Linked DNA regions of Ovis aries. The protein of the gene in region 2 purifies or fractionates together with the protein of the main gene of each other region. This does not show direct contact. Links are inferred from orthologs where the notes say so. Each region holds a gene or a part of one and is shown on either strand. Other genes may lie near its edges.

Evidence for each region.
Region 1: the proteins of DUSP4 (region 2) and MAPK1 purify together in Homo sapiens (affinity purification with mass spectrometry; 6 studies listed by BioGRID and IntAct, with this or other methods). This does not show direct contact. The link is inferred for Ovis aries from reciprocal best matches to the Homo sapiens genes DUSP4 and MAPK1.
Region 3: the proteins of DUSP4 (region 2) and MAPK8 purify together in Homo sapiens (affinity purification with western blotting; 3 studies listed by BioGRID and IntAct, with this or other methods). This does not show direct contact. The link is inferred for Ovis aries from reciprocal best matches to the Homo sapiens genes DUSP4 and MAPK8.
Region 4: the proteins of DUSP4 (region 2) and MAPK14 purify together in Homo sapiens (affinity purification with mass spectrometry; 3 studies listed by BioGRID and IntAct, with this or other methods). This does not show direct contact. The link is inferred for Ovis aries from reciprocal best matches to the Homo sapiens genes DUSP4 and MAPK14.

Annotation. Positions count from the first base shown.
Region 1 is NC_056070.1:72,076,355-72,081,422, reverse strand, and holds part of MAPK1 (mitogen-activated protein kinase 1), read right to left. Parts: intron 940-5,068; coding exon 823-939; intron 1-822. UniProt on the Homo sapiens protein: Serine/threonine kinase which acts as an essential component of the MAP kinase signal transduction pathway. MAPK1/ERK2 and MAPK3/ERK1 are the 2 MAPKs which play an important role in the MAPK/ERK cascade.
Region 2 is NC_056079.1:24,825,205-24,830,272, reverse strand, and holds part of DUSP4 (dual specificity protein phosphatase 4), read left to right. Parts: intron 1-1,888; coding exon 1,889-2,034; intron 2,035-3,005; coding exon 3,006-3,225; intron 3,226-3,862; coding exon 3,863-4,248; 3' UTR 4,249-5,068. UniProt on the Homo sapiens protein: Regulates mitogenic signal transduction by dephosphorylating both Thr and Tyr residues on MAP kinases ERK1 and ERK2.
Region 3 is NC_056078.1:41,778,515-41,783,582, forward strand, and holds part of MAPK8 (mitogen-activated protein kinase 8), read left to right. Parts: intron 1-2,056; coding exon 2,057-2,128; intron 2,129-2,471; coding exon of another isoform or gene 2,472-2,543; intron 2,544-3,855; coding exon 3,856-4,038; intron 4,039-4,340; coding exon 4,341-4,465; intron 4,466-5,021; coding exon 5,022-5,068. UniProt on the Homo sapiens protein: Serine/threonine-protein kinase involved in various processes such as cell proliferation, differentiation, migration, transformation and programmed cell death.
Region 4 is NC_056073.1:10,092,591-10,098,411, reverse strand, and holds the start of MAPK14 (mitogen-activated protein kinase 14), read right to left. Parts: upstream 3,598-5,821; 5' UTR 3,596-3,597; coding exon 3,480-3,595; intron 1-3,479. UniProt on the Homo sapiens protein: Serine/threonine kinase which acts as an essential component of the MAP kinase signal transduction pathway.

The DNA.
Region 1 (5,068 bases), on a different chromosome or scaffold from region 2:
CATGGGCCATGCACTTCACTCACTACCCCCGAGCCTCTAGGGACGACTTCTGGCTCCGACACCTGAACGCAGCCCAGCGACCACTCTCCAGCTGTCCTCACACACGTCACGTCACGGCAGACGGGACGGAGCTCTGGACTCGAGGCCTTGCGACGCAAGACTCAGGATGAGAGAGAGGTTTCAGGCGCGCCGGCCGCAGGCCAGACACCGCCTGCGCGGGCCGTGCTGAGACTTGCGAGGCCCCGAGGCCGCCCCCGCTGCCGCCGCCACGCGCCCGGCCCCTCGCGGCTCTGCCCGCCCCACAGGCTCTCTGGTGGCCTCCTGCGAGTGAAGGCCCTGCTGGCAGTGCGCTTTCCCCCTGGGGGCGGGACCGCCACGCCATGGGGTGTCATGCAGGCCACGCCACTCTGAGAGAGTCACAGCAGCTCCCGTTTTCCCCTCACCAATGTTTTCTTCCAATTTTATTGCAATTTGCTGAAGAGGCTTCTTCATTACCAGGTAGGTCTGACTCTTACAGGAGAGCCCTGGTCCGCGCTCACAGACGACAGTGCGAGCACAGAGCCCAGCGGACAGGAGGAAGCCACCCGGGTCGAGGAGGGCTGCCTGGGGGGCGGGACGCAGGCAGCTGATGGCGGGAGCACGCCCCGCAGCTCTGTAAGCCAGCACGAGCCCAGCCGAGGGCCGGGACGTCAGTGCTGAAGGGAGACGAGACGGTACCTTGGGGCTGGCCAGACAGGCCCAGCCTCAGCCCACGCTGACTGCCACTCACGCCCTAAGTCCTCTGGTCTCCCGGATTTCTTCTGATGCAAACCTGGCCCTTACCTTGGAGTTCAGCATGATCTCTGGAGCCCGGTACCAGCGCGTGGCCACGTACTCGGTCAGGAACCCTGTGTGGTCGTGGTCCGGATCTGCAACACGGGCCAGGCCAAAGTCACAGATCTAGGGGAAAGCAGACAGGACAGCTTCTGAGAGAGTCAGGGTCGCCAGCAGCAGAGCCGCAGACACTGGCGGGACACCAGCAGTGACGGCGGCAGCAAGTGCCACCATCCTCGGGCGGCAGAGCCGCAAGGCAACGGCACACACCCACCCTTACCTGCTCCTCACGACAACGGGAAGGCAGCCACCTCGTGTCAGGAAGGAACAGGTTGGAGGGTCTTGCCCAGAACACAATTTCAGCGGTATGCAGCCTCTACTTATCTGCTTACCCACAGCAAACCTGCTTAGGCCACTTGATAAACAGTTCTGCACGGAGAATAAGGTCACTCAAACCAGCGCCCAGTGAGCGCTGGAACGGTCACCACTGGGACCAGCTTCTCTGGCAGGGCCTCTCTCCACACGTGACCTCCCCCGCCTATTCTGCCCACCTCCTTCCCCTCCTGTAGTCAAACCCACTCCCAAAGCCGTACAAGACGCTCCACATACTGAAGACGGATCCTTACCAAAAAAAATCCAGCTTCTAATTTCTCCTGACTCACGCAAGCTGGCCTTGACCACGCAACGGTCGGGGCTGCTCCAGATTACAACGTGCAAGGAGAGTAACCGGAACCTATTTGGTCCCCAACAACTGCAGGACCTTTTAATTCCTAGCTCCTGGGGAACTAATCCGAGAGACAGAGAGAAAGAAAGAGGGAGAGAGATGCTAACACAGACGAATCCAGCAGAAGGCAGCCTGGAAGACAGAGATCACTTTGGAGGCTGACTGCTTTAATTCGGTTGAAAAGTGACAAGGGTGAGCTCAGTCCATAAAAACAGAGATACGGAGGCAGGGATATTCAGAAGACTTAACGGACACCAGCCTCTGCAGAGACCCCACAGCTGGAGGTCGAGACAACTTAAAATGACTCTGAAGGCTCCGCCCCCCTCCTCAGGGCTCGCGGCTGTGGAGGCTGGCACCCGCCGCGGCACCTCTGACCCCCGGCCCTGCCGCTTCCTCGATGCAGCCCTCTGAAGTTCTGCGTCCACGCTGCCCAGTTCCGTCCTCTGAGCCCGTCAGCGCGTCTTCAGGAGGAGCCAACGCCACGCCCGCTCCGCGGCTCTTCCAGGGCCGTGCTCTGGGCACTCTGGACAGGGCTGCACAGTCGCTGCGGTATCTTGAGGCCCCTTGGCCTCCAGCACCAGCCTCGCCTCCACAGCCAGACGGCTTGCTGAGGCCACCACACCCGGGACAGCTGCAGGCTGACGGACTGTCTGCGTGTCTGCAACGCGCCCGCGCCACACACCACCCCTTGGGCACCCTCGGCTCACACGGCGTGGCCGGGTCCAGACATGAGTCACAGCTCTCTGTGGTCAGCGGAACCCCCGGTGAAAAGCCTGCATACAGGCCCCCAGATCAGCGGGCTCAGTCCTGGGGCTGACATCTCCACCTCCTCCAGGAGCAGAACAGAAGCAGGAGCCGCACTCGGGAGGCGGACAGGACCTCCCGCCTCTACAGAGACGGCCCACGTGGTGAGAGCAAGCTAAAGACAGCCGCGGCAGAGGGCTCCGCAGAAGAAAGCCACGCCAACGTAACCCTGACCCCCATGCTGGCCACAGCTCTGGGGCCGAGCTTGCATCAAGAGGGCAGGATTTATCTTCCCTCCTCTGGAAGCTGGGCAAGCCTTTCTAACTGCCTGAACCAAGAGAACATACTGGAAGTGGTGCCACGTGACTTCCGAGGTGAGATCACAAAAAGCAACGTGGCTTCCACCTGGGGAACTGGGAGCCTCTGGCCGTGTCGTGGGGACACCAGGTCACATGGGCGGCGTGTGGCCATGCCGTGGCACTAACCACCAGGCCTGTGGGCGACGGTCTGAGCCTCCAGGGCGTCTCTCAGCTGCGGTCCAGAGGCTGAGCCCAGAGCAGTCCCCCCCCCCCCGACCCCCCCGCTGCCTGACCAAACTTCTGACCTCAGAAACTAAGCATTCAAACAGACAACTGCTGTTTCAGGCCATGACATCTTGGGGGGCTTGAGAGAGGCTCCAGCCTGGGTGGAGGGGGGAGGTAAACAGGCATCCACGTGGGGAGGCGGCAAGAGCCCCCAAGGGAGCAGGAGTCTTGAGTAGCGGGCCCAGGAACGCACGGCACCAACCAGCTACGTTGCTGGGAGCTGCGAAGCGCTGACTTCTCTAACTTCATCATCCCTTGTGCCTTTATCAGCTGGCATTTACTTTTACCGTTATTCATCAACCGGGGCTTTGTGCCTACCTTGAAGTCCAGACCCTACTGGGAAGACAAGGGAAGCGTTTCCTCCTCCCCTGTGAGTTACCAGTTTCCAGAAGAGGGAGCTGGCTTAAGGAGGACCATGTTTTTCTATTGGTATCCTGCGCTCGTAGTTGATAAAAATTACTGGCTATAATTTAACGAATCAAGAGGTACGCGTAGGGAAACTCTGTTCACGGTCATCCACAGAACTCATGCGACGCTCACTGCAACACTGAAAGCTAATACAGCGCTGACCAAAAAACTGCCAAGGCTACCCAAAACAGTGACTACAGTTCTATGCAGAGGAAGGTAGACACCCAGGATACGGTACGGAAATAGAAAGCGACCTGGTCAAATGTCCTACCCCTCCTACCTGGCGACCTTTGGGCTGAGTAAATTCAGATTCTCCTAGAACAAAAGCCCCAAAGATCTTTCATTTCGTACCTTTTGACCCTCCTTTCTAGGCCCACCCAGAAGCATACACGCTGCGACCCCAGCAGCCGGGGCTCCCCTGGGGCTGCTGGATGGAGGCTCAGCAAGCAAACACCCGGGACAAACACTGCTGGAGATGACATACCCCTGAAGTTTCACTAAGAACACACTGCCAGCACAGTCTCCAGATAGGGTCCACAACCCTCGCTCTTCTGCGGCCCTGAGAAATAGACAGGGTGCCCGCAGGAAGAGGGCCCGGGAAGGCCAGGAGAGGCCAGTGTGTACTGGGTCTCAAGGCTGGGTACCAAGCACGAAGCATGTTATGGAAGCCAAAACCAGAAGCTGACTGCTGTTGGCCTTGACTGTACAGAGTCAAAGCTAAAGGTCTAAGACACTTGACAGAGCTGACACCCTGGTGGCTCAAGAGTGAAAAATACTAACACAGAAGTCAATGGAAACAGGGAGAAGTGACCTAATTACCTGCTTGAAAATTCAAAAAAAAAAAAAAAACACCTAAATAACAAGACATCAGTAAGGCCACCGGTTACAAACTTTCTAGGCCTGGGGCTGTGGGACGGCATCAGGGCCATCCCAAGGTCTGAGGAGGGGACAGGCGTCCGATGAGCTCGGAGCCCGCCCCACTCCCCGGGTCCCTGCCTTGCCTGTGGGACACGCTCCCACGGCAAGCCCGTGACTGGGTGACACGCACGCCACACTGCTAACCGGAGTGAGACTCTGAGTGCACGTGCCCACGGGGATGGTGCATACCCCATACGGACATTTTCCAACGGGGGTCGACTGCACTGCTCTAAGCATCTGAAACATCCTACTGTGTTTCTGAGTCTGTGTTAAACTGGGCTTCGAAAACAAAGCCTGGACGGTGCAGATGGCCGATAACACAGATCAGCATGGGAGCACATCCTGGTGAGCAGGGAGTGAAATTGCCTGAGGCAGAGACAAGCCCACCAGCAGGGACAAGACAGCAGAGCAGTATGCTTCTGTGCTTCCTCTTCTCAAGGATGGGCATTTTCAAGCAAAAGTCAACTGCTCCCAGAAACATTACATACTCAAAATGTTAAGAATAGCCCTCCAAAACCAAACAAAAGCAATCTGCCCTAACAGGACTGTGGTGGTAAGAAAGAGAAAGAAAACAAAGAAAGCAGTAGGAGACGTCAGAACAACCACTGTAATTTCCAAGAAAACCACTGAGAGCTGGCCAGGTCTGCTGCTCCTGAGAGCACCCTCAGTCCAGGCCACCCTGGCTCACATGCCCAGACCCACGGACAGTGCCCTGGTGGGAGGGCGTGAGGTTGACTGAGAAGGACTTTAAGAGGCAACAGAGTCCACCCCAGCCGTGTCTGATGCAGGAAGCTGTCCCCACCACGTCTCATAGGCTGTCTGCTACACAGCTGTAAACACCCGAGACGGCAGATAAGCTACCCATCTGAAGACAAGG
Region 2 (5,068 bases):
TATAGCCTCCGTTTGGGGCGGAAGCGTTGGCAGGTTTATAGGCGAAAGGGAGGGCTGCTCCTGACAAGAGGTCCACTCAGGCCCGTAGCACCTCTGAAGAGAACAGGACTGGGCCTCCAGCAGGTTTTCCCTCCAGGGAGGCTGGTCATTATGACTCAGCAGAGCGAGGGCCTGTGACCAGAGAAATGGCCATTTATAGCCTGGGGGAGGGAAACCAGGAGCCTCCCGCTCAGAGAGGAAAAAATGTCTGCCCTGTTCCTGGAAGCCTTATGATGTGGCAAACGATCATTTTCTTTCCCCTCTGAAGCGGTAGTGTCAAGGAATTGACTAACCGTCACATGTTGGAAAACTGCTTTGAATGGTAGGGATAGAGAGCAATGGCACCCACACTGTCACTTAGTCATACAGGTGTAAAGGGCCAGCTGCCTCCGTGACCATCCTTTGAGCGGTTGTTCCACAACCTGCAGACCCTACTGAGTTAATTTATAATCTCTTTTTGGTCCAATAGAAACTGCAAAATAAAAATACAAGCAGGTGGACTTCTCTCTTGGTCCAGGGGTTGAGACGTCACCTTCCAGTGCAGGCGGCGCAGGTGTGATTCCCCGATTGGGGAGCTGAGATCCCACGTGCCTCAGGGCCGAGAAACCAAAACACAGAACAGAGGCAGTGCACGTATGCTCAGTTGTGTTCAACTCTTTGTGACGCCGTGGACTGTAGCTGGCCAGGCTCCTCTATCCGTGGGACTCTCCAGGCAAGAATACTGGAGTGAGTTGCCATGCTCTCCTGCAGGGGATCTTCCTGACCCAGGGATTGAACCTGTGTGTGTCTCCTGCACTGCAGACAGGTTCTTTACCACTGTGCCACCTGGGAAGCCCCCCAAACACATCCAATCAAGACTCCAGAAATGGTCCACATCAGAACAAAACCCTGCAACAACAACAAAAAATTAAAAAACAAAACAAAAAAACAAGCAGGGCCAAACCTTGACAATAATAGATGGTAGGTTTCCCAAAAAGCAAAGTCCCAGAGTGCACAAGAAAATCAGAAACACAGGCCGACTGTCTCTTCTTGGTGTGTTTCCCTGCCCGCCTCCACCTGCGTCTCTGCCCACCCCTGCGCAGCCGCCCTTGCCTGAGTGCCACTAACGCTACTCCACAGAAGTTGGCTATTGGTCTCCTTTTACTTAAACGACCTCCCTTCCCCGGAAGATGATTCCGTAGAGAACCATTCCAGGGCTTAGCAACTCTCAGGTCAGGAAATCCTCCCGTGCCCCAAACCTGGATGAGGCAAGAGGGATTTGTTTAGATCTAAGCCCGTTTCCTCTTGTTTTGGCCCCTTGTTGATGGAACAGCTGTTCATGAGGCTGTGTGGTTGGCATCTGTTCTGTTGCTGAGGTCCAGAAGGGCTGGTGCCAGGATAATAGTTTTTTTATTCTCTCCCACACTGGAGAACCTCTCTAAAAGAAGAGCTGGAGGTGGGGGATGACAGACATCTTTGTGGGTCCCAGGACTCAATTGTGGCCTCATGGAAACCCCTAGTGGCTCTTCCCTTTTTCTTTGTCATCACTGTAAAGAAAGCATTCCTTCTTCATCTCCCCCTGCACATCCTCCTTTGTGTATCTGCATTCTAAACCGAAGTCTTGTGCCTAAAGCTTTTCTTCCAGCTTCAGGATGCGTTCATCCCCAAGGCAGTCTCCCCATCTCTGGAAGAAGGGCTCCTTAGCCATTATCTCTGGGCCCACAGCGCCACCCAGTGGCCAGTATAGGTGCAACCAGCCCTAGCTTCCCAACAGCTCTCCTCTGTGAAGCGTAGGGTTCAAGTTCTCCCCTGGTTTGGTTTCCTGCTTGTTCAATGACCCCATTAACCTGAGCATCTTTCTCCTTTACAGGTGGCTATGAAAGGTTCTCCTCTGAGTACCCAGAATTCTGTTCCAAGACCAAGGCTCTGGCAGCCATCCCACCTGCTGTGCCCCCAAGCACGGCAGAGTCTTTGGATCTGAGCTGCAGCTCCTGTGGAACCCCACTGCACGACCAGGTGCGGGCTGAGATCAGACTTCTGCTTGTCAGAGGCTCAGGACTCAGGGCCTCAATGCTGGGTGAATTGATGAACCCTGAGTGTTGGGATGCGACCTTAGGTGGAATCCATCATTCCTTTGAAATTCTTCCCCTTCCTTCTCTCATTACCCTTACTTAAAAAAAGAATGTAAAGACATAAGTCCCTGACTTCGCTCCCAGAGTTATGTGCAGAGAAGCAAGGAGCCCAGAAGTGTGTGGGCTGTTCTGTGGGAAGCTGAGACCCCAGCCCTGGCTTACAACAGGCAGAGCTGTCCGCCCCCCATACAAGCTAATCATAAATGCTAAGTGAACATCAGTGGACAACCAACCCTTCTAAGAAAACCAGCTCATGCCACTATGATTCTTACAAGCACGCCCCTTCCAGCCCTCTCCTTTAGACAGAGATGGAGTAAAATGATGGGGTCCCGCAACTCTGCTCCACAAACCCCACATCACTTGTGTTGATCTGCCTCAGAATCGTGTCATTAGCAAAGCCAACATAACCTCCTTTTGCCAGGATCCCCCCTCTTATCTTTGAGGTTGCTGTGGCGTCTGTTTTTGATCTGCAGCAAGTAGCTTAGTGGTAGCAGGTGTAAGCTCCTCACATCACAAACGATGAACAAGGCCCGCATTGCGTCTTCTGCCTCACTGGTCACCGGGGGCGGAGGGGAGGTGGGCTGCTTGAACCAGAGAGGGGAGCCCAGCATCAAGGCAGAGTAGAGCATCAAGGCCAGAGAGGTCCCACTGAGCGCATCACTCCCTCCTGGAGCCCCAGCAGGACATGGGGAGACCTGGAGGGGCTGTGTCCACAGGCCATCTTCCCACAGCCCTTGACAGCAGCACCCCCACCCCAGACTGGCTCCCTCTCCCCGTCCTACCGCCCCAGCCCTCTGCCCTGCTGTTTTATACTTATGATGTTTGGGGGGGCCCCTTTGTTCTCCCCTTCTGCAGGGGGGTCCGGTGGAGATCCTGCCCTTCCTCTACCTCGGCAGTGCCTATCATGCGGCCCGCAGGGACATGCTGGATGCCCTGGGCATCACAGCCTTGCTGAACGTCTCCTCTGACTGCCCGAACCACTTCGAAGGACACTATCAGTACAAGTGTATCCCAGTGGAAGACAATCACAAGGCTGACATCAGCTCCTGGTTCATGGAGGCCATTGAGTACATCGGTAGGCTGGCCCTGGCCGGGGTGCTGGGTTCAGGGATGGGGCGCTGGGTGCAAGGCTGGCAGAGACAGGAAGCGAGGGAAGAAGGAACCACTTGGAGCTAGAGTGTTGAAGGAGGAACTTAGAAAGGGCCCTGCCCAGAGGATGCCTGTTTTCCCTCTTTCTCAGTAGGAAGGCTGGCCCTTGGGGTATTGAATTGCCCAGGGGTAGGAAGATGGACTTATATAAACCACAGGCACTGGTAGCTGATAGAGCCAAGAACTTTTGCCTTGGGTGTCCCACCTGCCAAGCAGATAAGACTTAGGGGTGGAGAGGAAGACACAGAGAGAACTGGGTCATTGTTTTTGCTCCTGCAAATGAAAACCCCTCCGTGTGTGCTGGCACCGGGCTTTAGCATGTGTGTTTCCTAAGCCCGGCACATTTGTCTGGTTAAGTCTCCAAAATAGCCCAGAACCGATGGCACTCCCTGGCCCGGTGGGTTTCCTCTCTCCTGGCCTCAGCCTTGGAAGGCTGTCCCTTCCGTGGTTCAGAGGGAGGGCCCCGACCAATGCTTCTCAGATCCTCCCCACAGCGCCCTCATCCCGCCCAGGGAAGGACAGGGACTTGGGGACACTAACGGGCGCGTGGCTCTCTGCCCCAGATGCGGTCAAGGACTGCCGCGGGCGCGTGCTGGTGCACTGCCAAGCTGGCATCTCCCGCTCGGCCACCATCTGCCTGGCCTACCTGATGATGAAGAAGCGTGTGCGGCTGGAGGAGGCCTTCGAGTTTGTCAAGCAGCGGCGGAGCATCATCTCGCCCAACTTCAGCTTCATGGGCCAGCTGCTGCAGTTCGAGTCGCAGGTGCTGGCCACGTCCTGCGCGGTGGAGGCCGCCAGCCCGTCGGGGCCCCTGCGCGAGCGGGGCAAGGCCACCCCCACGCCCACGTCACAGTTTGTCTTCAGCTTCCCGGTCTCCGTGGGGGTGCACCCGGCCCCCAGCAGCCTGCCCTACCTGCACAGCCCCATCACCACCTCCCCCAGCTGTTAGAACCCTCAGAACGCCCCCCCACCCCCACACCAGCCCGTGTCAGGTGGGGCCCGGTGGCCGGGTAGCAGGTCCGGACTGACCCGCAGGGGGCCTGGTGACCAAGCTCCTTCCATCCATCTCTCTTTGGCTGGGGCCAGCTAGAATGGCAATAAGGACCTCAAATACATATTTAAACGCAGACAAACAAAACACTCCAACTTAGAGCAATAACAGCTTCCTCGGCAGGCAGGGAAGACCTGGGTCTTGGTTTGTGTCAGTTTTACTTTTCAGATAGGAATTTCTTACCTCATTTTTTTTTTTTTTTAAAGCAGTAAGGCTTGAAGTTAGGAAACCCACAGATCCTGGCAAATGTGCCCCTTTATTAAGGGGGGTGGTGGTGGTGGAGGGGAGGCAAAGGGCCAAAAACAAGTTGACCAGAAGTGCCTGCTTCTGTGTGCTTGGTCCTTTTCTTGTTGTAGTTACAGGAATTATTATTTTTTTTTTTGAAGAAATCTTTTAGGACATGGTTTTCCTTTTTAAGTCACCATCAACAGGTGAATACTTAAGCTTAATAATAAATAAAAGTATTTATTGAGAATTTCCTCAGAGTGTGTGAGGACACAGTCTGGGGACCGTGACTTTAGAATATATTGATGCTGGTGTGGACCTGCGGAGCACAGGCAGCATGCAGACGTCAGTACAGTGAGGTGGTGTGTTCGAGATGGCGTGACGATCAGCTTGCATTTGCTACTGCTGGGAAGGGGGCAGGGTGGGAGGAGGAGAAAGGGAAGCGAGGACGTTGTTAGCATTGACCCTGGGTATCCGTGGGAGATTGGTTCCA
Region 3 (5,068 bases), on a different chromosome or scaffold from region 2:
AAAAACTATCATGCAAAGAGTTGACATACTTTCCTTTCTTAGATAAGAATTCTATAGACTCACTTTATTGTGTTCCTTCAGTCTCCAGGAAACTGAGTCAAATATAGTGCTTAATGTTGGTAACTACATCGGCCAGCAAGGTTAAGCATAAGAACTTCCACCTTTTAGTGACGCCTCTCACCCATCCTACACCTGTTTTAATGACTTGTTTTATATATATGTCTTTTATTGCAAGCTACCCTCAAAGCTTTTTGGAAAGTGAGATAATGGGATATATTTAAACTGCCAAATAGCCTGAGCAGTTAGACCTGTAGAGCTCTTTTTATGTTTGAATCAGGCTTTTCATATTCTGAGGACAGTCTTCATTTGCCCAGACAGTGCTTGCAATAGCCTCTCATGCTTGTAGCTTTAGAAATGTTTTAAAATATGTTTTTCTCAAGATTATGTACATAAATTATGTCCTAGATATCTAACTAAAGCTTGCTATTCTCTATAAAATCCACAAGGAAAAAATTGTTGTAATAGATTTTTGCCAGAAATGAAAACCCTGGAAAAAAATTTTGTCTGAACTGATAGGTAAACATTAACTTTCCCTCTAAAATTTTATCCTTGGAAGTTGAATTATGCCATAGATACAAAAAGATTTGTATGTATTCTAATGTGAAATTTTAGAGAAACTTTAGTTCCACAGGATTTCCAAAATTTACTCCTAAATATAGCTCCTAAAATTCTGTAATGAGCTAATAGTCTCCTTATGAGTGTACTAGAAAGTATGGATTTTAAGTTCCCAAGTTGTCCTGCATGGTTAAAGGTGCATCTCTAACATCTATTCTTGCCCTTTTATTCTTTTGCTATTAAAAGAGTTGAAGTCTTCAGACTGCAAAAACAAATGCAAGTTTCTAAAACTTCCCTTCAAATTGCTTATTCTTCCCCTTCTTGTATTAAACTGTAAGCACCTTCTCTTTTTATCTGTTTTCAAACCCAAAGATATAAAGTGTCAGGGTATGTGGTTAGTTTTAATGAAATGGGTGGAGATCCTCAAATTGCTCATTTCTGTGTCTGGCGCATTCTTTTCAACATTGGTTGGAACTCTCATTTAAAATTAACAAGCGTCACAGGATTTCCCTGGTGGTCCAGTGGTTAAGACTCCTACTTCTACCACAGGGGACGCGGGTCAACACTTGGTCATCCCGTGTAGCCAAAATAAATAAAGTCGGCAAGGGTCAGTAAGTCTAGTAGGAGACTCTGTAGATGATAAATTTGCGGGAGCTTTCATACTGTGTTCAGCCGAAACCAACTTCTTAAACCAAAAGTGGTTTAGTTCTACAAGTTTAAAACACTTTAGGTGGAAAACATGAAATGTACTTTTTTTGCTGTGTTTTCTTGATTATTTGTTCATTCTCTATGAACTTGGGATAGTAGAGTAAATGCAACATGGTGTTGCCAAGAAGACAAATGATTTTCTATTCAGAGTAAACGTAGCACTTCTCAAAACAGATTGATGAACTCCAACTTGAAAATTTCCGAAGACCGTTAGGTTAATGTTTTAACTGTAATTATTCATAGAAGCGTTATTTCTGTTAAATATTTTAATATGCTGGACTGTTTCTGCTCATGCTTTTTTCTTTTATTTTACTTAAAGAGAGAGGATAATGCACAGTTGAACCTCCAAATAGTATCAAGGTTTTATTTTTTAAATTTTGGTACCTCATGTGCATTTTCAGCCTTATTTGTAAATCTGTGTTGGTTCATTTTCATATTTTGTAAGTAAACTTTCAGGGGCAGACTATGGGTTTTAAAATCATATGATTTCTGTGCATAGCTCTCCCTTTAAATTAGATATGTAGCTAAAAGGCTACACTTCACGTTTGCTTTTGTGAATCAAAGCCTTTTGAAAAATATTTTATGTTTTAAATTATTCCATTAGCTAAAATTAAAGTCACTTTTTTCTTTCTGTGATGTTTTGCAGTTTTTATATAAAGCAGTCATGTTATGCTTCTTTGATTTTAACGACCTTTTGCTTTGCTTTTCCTTCTTTTGTGCTGCAAACATATAGTGGATTTATGGTCTGTGGGGTGCATTATGGGAGAAATGGTTTGCCACAAAATCCTCTTTCCAGGAAGGGACTGTATCCTTGCGCTGCTGCAGCAGTTTGATCAGTTAGGTGACGGGCTTCCTTATGTTCCCTAATGAAAATGAGTATGTACATCCACACATGTGGGTTTCTTTTAAACAGACGTAAAGTTTGTGGCTGTTACAGTTCAGATTCTGAGATGTTTGTAGGCTGCATTCGGCAGTAGGACATACAGTCTCTGCTGGCAGGTAGAGCACACTCACTGTCACTCATTTTTATTTTGTACTGCTTTCTTTAATTTTGAAGTATACATGGTGTGTGTGATTTTTTTTAATGTTTATATTTTTTTTATTTTAACCAAAATCTTTATGTTAATGTCATTGCATTTTGTTTTCAGTTGACATTTGGTCAGTTGGGTGCATCATGGGAGAAATGATCAAAGGTGGTGTTTTGTTCCCAGGTACAGATCGTATCCTTATCTTTGGCCTAAAATGTAGTTTCTAAAGGTCAAAATGTAAGACAACACTTCAGCTTGATCAGGTATAATGTATTTTGTCTCTCCCTAGTAAAGTATTGTTAAATTACTCTTTAAAATACCACCTGCTATTTGACATAGACTTTCCTTTCCCTCACCGATTGTCTCATTTGTTAATTCTGAAAACTACTCAAGTTAATTATCCACAGTTACTTGTTGGCTTTGAGTTAATTTATTTAACCTGAATCAAAAATCATGGCTTGCATTAAATTTTTCTAATAATTATACACTTGAGTAAGTCTAGAAGTACTTAGGACATGATATGAATTTTGAATTGTTGTTCCTGGTCACCCTTTTGTTTTGTCCTCCCCACCTTCTGTTTTGTTAATGTTCTGTGTGTTCTGTGTCTTTTGGTTGTTGTCTCATTTCTCTACATAACATACTGATCTTTTCATCTGAGAGTTTCAGCAGTAACAGTTGTATATGGTGATGAGTAGATTTGGGTTCATGATTTTTGTTCATCTGACTACTGATATTTGTAGTAACATTGATCTGTTATTGTGTTTATCAGCTAGTGACACTTAGAATTGTTTTAAGAAGACAAATGGGAGAAACCGTATTCATTGGGTTATAGTAAGAAAGTTTTAGGTCTTAATCCATGGGGAGCACTTGAAGTATAAAGACTAAAGACTGGGAGGAAAGAAACCAGGGAATTCTAGCCTTATACCTTAACCAAAATAGTGAGTCATTTTCTCAGACTTCAGAGCTTTAAAATATTTTAGTTAACATAAGCTAAACAGAGAATTGCAAAAAGGAATGCCATCATTTTTATTGCTGCTGCTTATTTTCTGTTAATTTAGAAAACTCAGAAAAGGACAGATGATAAATATTTCTTATCTTCTCAGAAATGCAGTCACCTTTTCTGATAAGCTAGAAGAAAAGGCAAATTCTGTGTTCAGAATTGTGTCCAGTTTATATGTAGAATCTATATGGGCAGGAATTACCATTTTCCTTTGAGCCACTCATCATTTGTATTTGGAATTTGTGAGTTTAAGCTTCCATTTTTATGAGAAAATCAGTATTAGTAGACACACACATACACCTAGTAAATAAGGTTAACAAAGCTTGTCATTGATTCTTTCTGTCCACCTACAGTCATTGCCTTTTGCAAGGTGGCTATAAGATTTATAACTGCCACATTCTTTCTTAGAATTTTAAATTGCTATTTTCTTGTTATTTTAATATGGATATGACTAATATGTTGAACATTAGATGCACAGTATTTTTCTTAGCTACTTGATACTAGATATTGATCAGTGGAATAAAGTTATTGAACAGCTTGGAACACCATGTCCTGAATTCATGAAGAAACTACAACCAACAGTAAGGACTTATGTTGAAAACAGACCTAAGTATGCTGGATATAGCTTTGAGAAGCTCTTCCCTGATGTACTTTTCCCAGCTGACTCGGAACACAACAAACTTAAAGGTACTTTTAAAAATAATATCTTTAATTCCATTGTGGGTAGGTGGCTGTTTGAAGAGGAGGTTTATGGGGGTGTATTTATATTGTTACGGGATGTAACTCAACAGTATTTCTGAGTAATGGAACAGTGTGAGGTTTTAGTTATTTTTAGTTATATTTTTAATCATATGTATGACCTAATTTTATAGTAAATCTATTCTTTTTAAAGCATTTTTTAGTACATGGTAATTTCAGATTTCTGAAATTTATTGATAATTTTAAAACCTTATAAGATACGTTACATAAACATCTTATTATTTTTGCAGCCAGTCAGGCAAGGGATTTGTTATCCAAAATGCTGGTAATTGATGCATCTAAAAGGATTTCTGTAGATGAAGCTCTCCAGCACCCGTACATCAATGTCTGGTATGATCCTTCTGAAGCGGAAGCTGTAAGTTCTTTTCTGAATGTTTGAAGAATATATTGTACTCTTAGAGTTGAAGTTAGGTTTAGCGTATATATTTTTTTAATTTTAAATAAAAATATAAATAAATGATGGTGGTGCTTTCTGTTTTTGCATGAAAAATTCCTTTAGAGAATGAACATATCCAAGTACCTCCTACACAAAATAAACTTCCCTCCCATTGTTTCTTGCCTTTTTGCCGTATTACCATGTAAGTTGAGCTATGATGTTGAGCGCTTTGAGAAAACATCGTAACTTTGTTGTAAAGAAATTATTGTGTCCAAAGCATAGCACAATTCTATGATGTAAATAAAATACAATAGCTGCAAAAACAAGAAAAAAAAAGACTATTAAGCATCTTTTTTCCCGTCATGGAGTCTTCCCAAATTAGTCTGTCTGCACAGAATCAGCACTGATCGTTGGATCAGTCTTGGTATAATGGTGTATGTTTCCAAGGCTTCTGCATGGTCAATATTTCAAGTAATTGTAAGGAATTTATAGACTTTGAAGAAACTGACTCAGTTTTTGTTGCCTTGTTTTTCAGCCACCACCAAAGATCCCTGACAAGCAGCTAGATGAAAGGGAGCACAC
Region 4 (5,821 bases), on a different chromosome or scaffold from region 2:
AATTTGACCTCTTAGTAAATTTTGCCATTCTTTTACCAAAGTTTTGGTATATACTTTATATACTGATGATAAATATAAACAGCACAGAACAATGCCCAGAACATAGAAAGCAATCCATAAAATGCAGTTATTATTCACATCACACTATACACCTACCAGGGAATGAACTGTCTTTGTCTTGTTTAACAGTCTAGCTCAAGAAACCTAGCCTGCTATCTGGTCCATGAGTGTGTGAAGTCATTTTAGGCATGTCCGACTCTTTGCAACCCTATGGACTGAGGCCCACCAGGCTCCTCTGTCCATGGGGAGTCTCCAGGCAAGAATACTGGAGTGGTTTACCATTTCTTCCTCCACAGGCTCTTCCCCACCCAGGGATCAAACTTGTGTCTCTTGCACTGGCAGGCGGGTGGGTTCCTTACCACTAGCACCACCTGGGACGCCCCTAAAGATGTGTGCGTGCTAAGCTGCTGGTCCATAGTTGGTGCTCAATAAATATTACTTAATAAGTGATTCAATATGGTTTAAGAATAATTCTGATCTCTTACCTGTTTTATGGTTACCACTGCCGCACCTCCTATAATCAAAGGCAAGAGTCTGGAAAACGCATACACCAGAGGAAGGGCATTTAAGTTCCTGTTTATATTTCCTTAAACTCACCACAAAGATCCTCCCCCGCCCCTTTCGTCCCTAAACCACAAAATCAATGCTTTGCAACACCGTACTCTTGAACAATTTTGCTTCATTTCCCCTCACTGACAGCGCACCAAGTTCCTTAAAGCTGCAAGCTTTAGTTTAGTTCCCTTTACCCCTTAAGAAGGAAAGGTATGTTTGTAAAACTCTAATACTCAAAGTTCTATTTTGATTTCTTGATCTTTCATTCACGATTAGTTATCATACTTGCGTTACTAGATACTTAGTACAAATGAAAACACTGAAAATTGGCTTATTATTTAATTTTTAAAGTTAACACATCAAAGTGTATCACACTTCAGAGCAATCAAATTAGGAAACTGACACATTATTTCAGTGATGTTGCATTCCTTGAAATACTTTCAGAGATTCTTTTTTGGAACAGACTTCAATCCAGTTCTACAAGTCCCACAGGAAATTCTGTGTCATTACTTTACGGTTACAACTCCTATTTGACCTCAAACAGTATCACCAGCCTGGCTGCCTGATCTTTTTCACCAGACTTGAGCCCAAATTCTCTAAATGATTTGGATTCAATCTAACTTCGTTATTTCCTAAAATCAAATCTGCTCTAAAAAAAAAATGAAGAGAGTGAAAAATAACACAGGCTCCAAAGTGGATTCTAAGAGAAGTTTAAAAAACATTTTTTTTTTCTGCCACACCTAAAAGCTGCTGACTGAAAGAACAACTTGAAATAACTACTCTGAATGAGATAACACATGTGAATGTAAATTCTGATATTTTCAATCCAAAATCAACTATACTTGTTTACGGTCAACTGTCACATAATATTGGTTATTTTTCTCCACCAATATGTTATAGGTTACACCTTAAACAACCTTAGCAGAACTGCCTCCACAGAAAGACACACAAGAAACTTAACAGGGGTGGTCTCTTGAGAAAAGAACTAGTCCAGCTGGACAAAGAGAATGGAAACTTTTCACTGTCTTTCTATGCCTTTTACATTTTATACAATGTGAATGTACTACCTACTTTTAAAAACCTGTTTAACAAAATTACTTCCAAGTGTCAGTTTTGATGGCTTCTATAAACCAGAAAAATAAAGCACTAAAAAATGTGGAGTTCATGTTTTATCAGCACTTCACTGGATCTCCAGTGCCAGGGCTGAGTTACTCACATCAACTGTAGGGAAACCTTGCAAGCAGTTCACTAACTCCCCACAGTTGAGCCGTATCACTCCACTAAAGTTTAAACAACAATGATAGGAAACAAAAATTCAGTACCACAAAAATTAATGTGTCAATTCCAGAATGAAAACTGGCCGTAAACAAGTGAGCTATTAAAGCAGCAATGATCCAAACACATCTTCGAAAATTAGCGAATCAACAGCACGCTATAAAAATGGAAAAAAGATGTCAAGCATAGGGCCATCAGCGACATCACTCAAGCAGCCTGAACTAGAAAACGCAATATGATCTGTTGCTGGACACAATTGCACAATCTCAATTACCCAGAAGATTCTACCAAACAGGAAATTCATGCTGGGGCTTTAAGAAACACAGGAATTATATTCAAAGATTACCAAGTCTAAAAGCCTGGAACCTGCCCCGAAACAAAAAACTAATTTTGTAGACCTCTTTGCAAATAATGCATGCACAGGAATTACATGAATTAGCTTCAGGTCAGCTCTCAAATTACACAAAATCTAAAATACAGTGTATAAAACCTTAGAAGTTAGAAAAGTTAGTGAACTGAGTCTGGAAATTTTACAGTAGCGTTTCATTTAAAAGACATTCATAGTGTGAATTAAAGCTGAAAAGTGTCTCTTCCTTCTTTTGCTATATATTCCATATCCCATGAAAACCATTATGTACCTCTCAGGCCTTAAGTGCAGATTAAGTTCTCTGCAAACCCTCTAAAGGACTTTAAAAACACAGTGTTTCACAAGAATTATCACGATTAAAAAATATTTATAATACATCGCAGCATTGTTAAAAACTTTTTGATCTTGAGGGCGTCCAACGGATCTGAACCTCACTTGCTCCAAAGGAGAAAATCGTTTTGTCAAACAATACTTAAATGAGCAGTGGTATGTGACTAATCAGCGAGGCCGCCAGCTTCTCAAGCTGCAGGCACTACCACCACCCCCCACTCTGCGAAAAGGAAATACGCTTTCAACTGAATCGGAAACACACCACTCAAGCTGGCACAGGGCTCACCGAGATAAAGTCGGTATTTTAAGCTCCCTGGATAGCTGCTAATTCAAGTGCGAATTCAAAAAGAACCCTTCTCAAAATGCAATTTCGACAGAGGTTTGCAAAAAAGCCCGAACTCAACGCCCTTCGTCCTCAGTTTTGTTCAGATGACCGCAGTCGAGCTTTGCCCTTCTGCTTCTCCGGGCAGCTTCCCGGGCTTGTCTGCTCCGAGGGCAGGCACATCTCGAGAGAGTCCTTCTGCTCGATGCCAGCAGGGAGAGACCTCCGAAGAGGGACCCCTGTTCCTGCCCCCGTAGCAGCACCGCCCCCCCACCCCCACCCCCACCCCCAAGGGAACGCGCAGGGTGCGAGTCAGGGCCCGGCTCCAACACCATCACCCACCGCCCACAGCGGACCTGCGTCCTACACACAGCTGACCATCTACGTGGGCGTGCAGGGTGGGGGTGCAAGGGGGACAGGGAGTGCAGGACAGGGGTCGAAGAGGGCTGGGATGCCCTCCCCCCAAGGAAAATTCCTGCCGCTGGGTGCATTGCTGAGCCGTGGGGGCAGGCCTGACTCCAGGGCATACGGAGACACCCGGCCCAGCGAGGCCCCCGGCCCGGTGACACTCACCACACAGAGCCATAGGCGCCGGAGCCCACCGGGGACAGGTTCTGGTAACGCTCGGGCACCTCCCAGATGGTCTTGTTCAGCTCCTGCCGGTAGAACGTGGGCCTCTCCTGAGACATCTTCCAGCGGTGGCCGCGGGGCGAGGAGGTGGCCCTTGCAGGGCCCCGCCTGCACCCGCACCCGCTTCCCCTGACCTCGTAGCCCGCCCGGCCGGGCGGGGACCCCTGCGCTGGCCGCCCGCGCAGGTGCGGCTGCGGCGACCCTGAAGAAGCCCGCGCGCGCGCGCGGCCCCTGTCAGCCGCAGCGGCTGGACGCGCCTCACCGACGGCGGGGGAAGCACTGCGAAGGGCCGGGGCACGCTCCGGGGCCCTGGGCTGGCGCCCCGCCCAGCTCTCCCTGCGCTCTCTCCACACCCGGCCGACTCCCGGCTGCGCGGCGGGGTCACAGCTCCAGCTGCAGCGCCCGCGGAGCTTCCAGTGGTCGCCTTTCCCAGAGCCAGCGAACAGGAGCCTCCCGCCGTGCTCTCGCGAGAACAGCTCCCGGACCTCTCCTCGAGCCGAGATTTTACCCAATATGGAACCTGCCCGCGGGAGGGGGGTTGATGAAGGGAGAGCTTGGGAGAAGTAATTCTCGCGAGAAGAGAGCAACAGCTGGCCCCTAGAGGCAGGAACTCCCAGGGATTGCTCTCCTTTAGCGCGCGAAGGCGGACCCGGGAAGGAGCGGAGAAGCAGACGATACAGGCCGCGCGCGCCCCATCGTGGTCGGCGGGGCAAGTGCTTGGCTCCCTGTTGGAAAGAGACAGTGACAAATCAATCGGGTGTCTGGGAAAAGAGCCAAAAGACCTTTAAACGGTGGGTAATCACCAGCAGCTGAGCACCTGCTCGGCGGAAAACCCCCAATTTCCAAGAAGTACTTGCATAAAAAAGAGAAAGATTCCGGCCAGAAAGCCGTTGTAGTCCCATCTGCTCAAGGACATACACTTACTCTTCGGAATGCTGACGAAATCTGTCTCAAAGGTAAATATTAGCCCTGAATTAAGGTTGAGGTTTTTCCACCCAGACACTTCTAGTAGTTCTCAAACTTTTACGTGCAGAAGAAGCACCTTGGGCGCTTAAAAATGAACAGCGAGTTTGATTAGATGGGTCCCAGAGGGACTCCAAGACTGTGCATTTTTACAAAATGCGCCAGGTTCAGAAAAGTTCTTGGTATCTCCCTTGGAGAAACATTTTAAAACCTTTACCCTGAAGGTTTGAAACTGATTCCTACCTTGAAGAGCTTCCAGCAAAGAGGGTTTTAAGAATTGTAATCATGCCTCTCAGAGTAAGAACAGTGCAGATAGTGGTTTTCTGGCAGTATCCTGTTGGGCAAGTCAATTGACCTTTCTTAGACCTTAGTTCCAGTTTATGCAAAAAAGAATTGCTGCCCTGAAATTTCCCACCTGAAAGCTGAACAAGATAATAAATGTGAATGGGCAAGGTATTATAACCCCATACCTTCATGTCACTATTAACTTATTCCTACCCTAAAACTTGTTTCAATAAGCAGAATTGGACCCTATCTTATTCTTGGTCATTTCTTTTAGAACTAACTGGGCTCAAGCCAGGACACTTCCCATCACTATCCATGACTATTCTCTTTTGTGTTATGCATCCCTTGAAGTGCTCAAATTTTGCCTATCTTGTCCCAGCATCTAGCTCAGGGCCTCGAACATAGAAGTTACTCCATAAGTATTTGCTGAGCAAATTATGAACAAGGACATGATCTCAACTAAGGTGGCATTGCAGGATCCTCAGCTGTCAAGGAAAAATAAAATAAAACCCAAAACAAGGGTCGTAGGTGATCTGCGGAAAGCTTTCTTTGGATTCAGTGTGACAGCCTAGATTCTCTTGCCTTAGAAGACATGTTGCTTAAAAATGTTCCAAGCCAAACTGCAGATAGTGAGCTTTCTAAGAAGTATTGGAGGTAGGAGGAAGCAAGAGCAAAAATGCAGCTGTAAAGATATGAGAGGTAAGAGTAGGGGATCAAGGTGAGTGCATGGATAAAAGGGGGAAAACTTGGAAGCTGGAATTCTAAGAAATTCATGTATTTATCCAACAAATTGGGATGATGACATGAGAGTGAGCAAAAGAATAAAGATGAGCAATACACTCACTCACTCAGCAAATATATATTGAATGCCTACTAGGTACCAGGCACTTCTAATGGGAAGTTGGTTGAAAGGCAGATAGCGGCTGCCTACGTGGAGCCTACAGTGAGTAGTGGCACAATCATTCACTTCTTCAACACAGATTTATTGAGCACTTACTAGATCTACCACATTGCTCTGGCACCAATAATACAGCAAT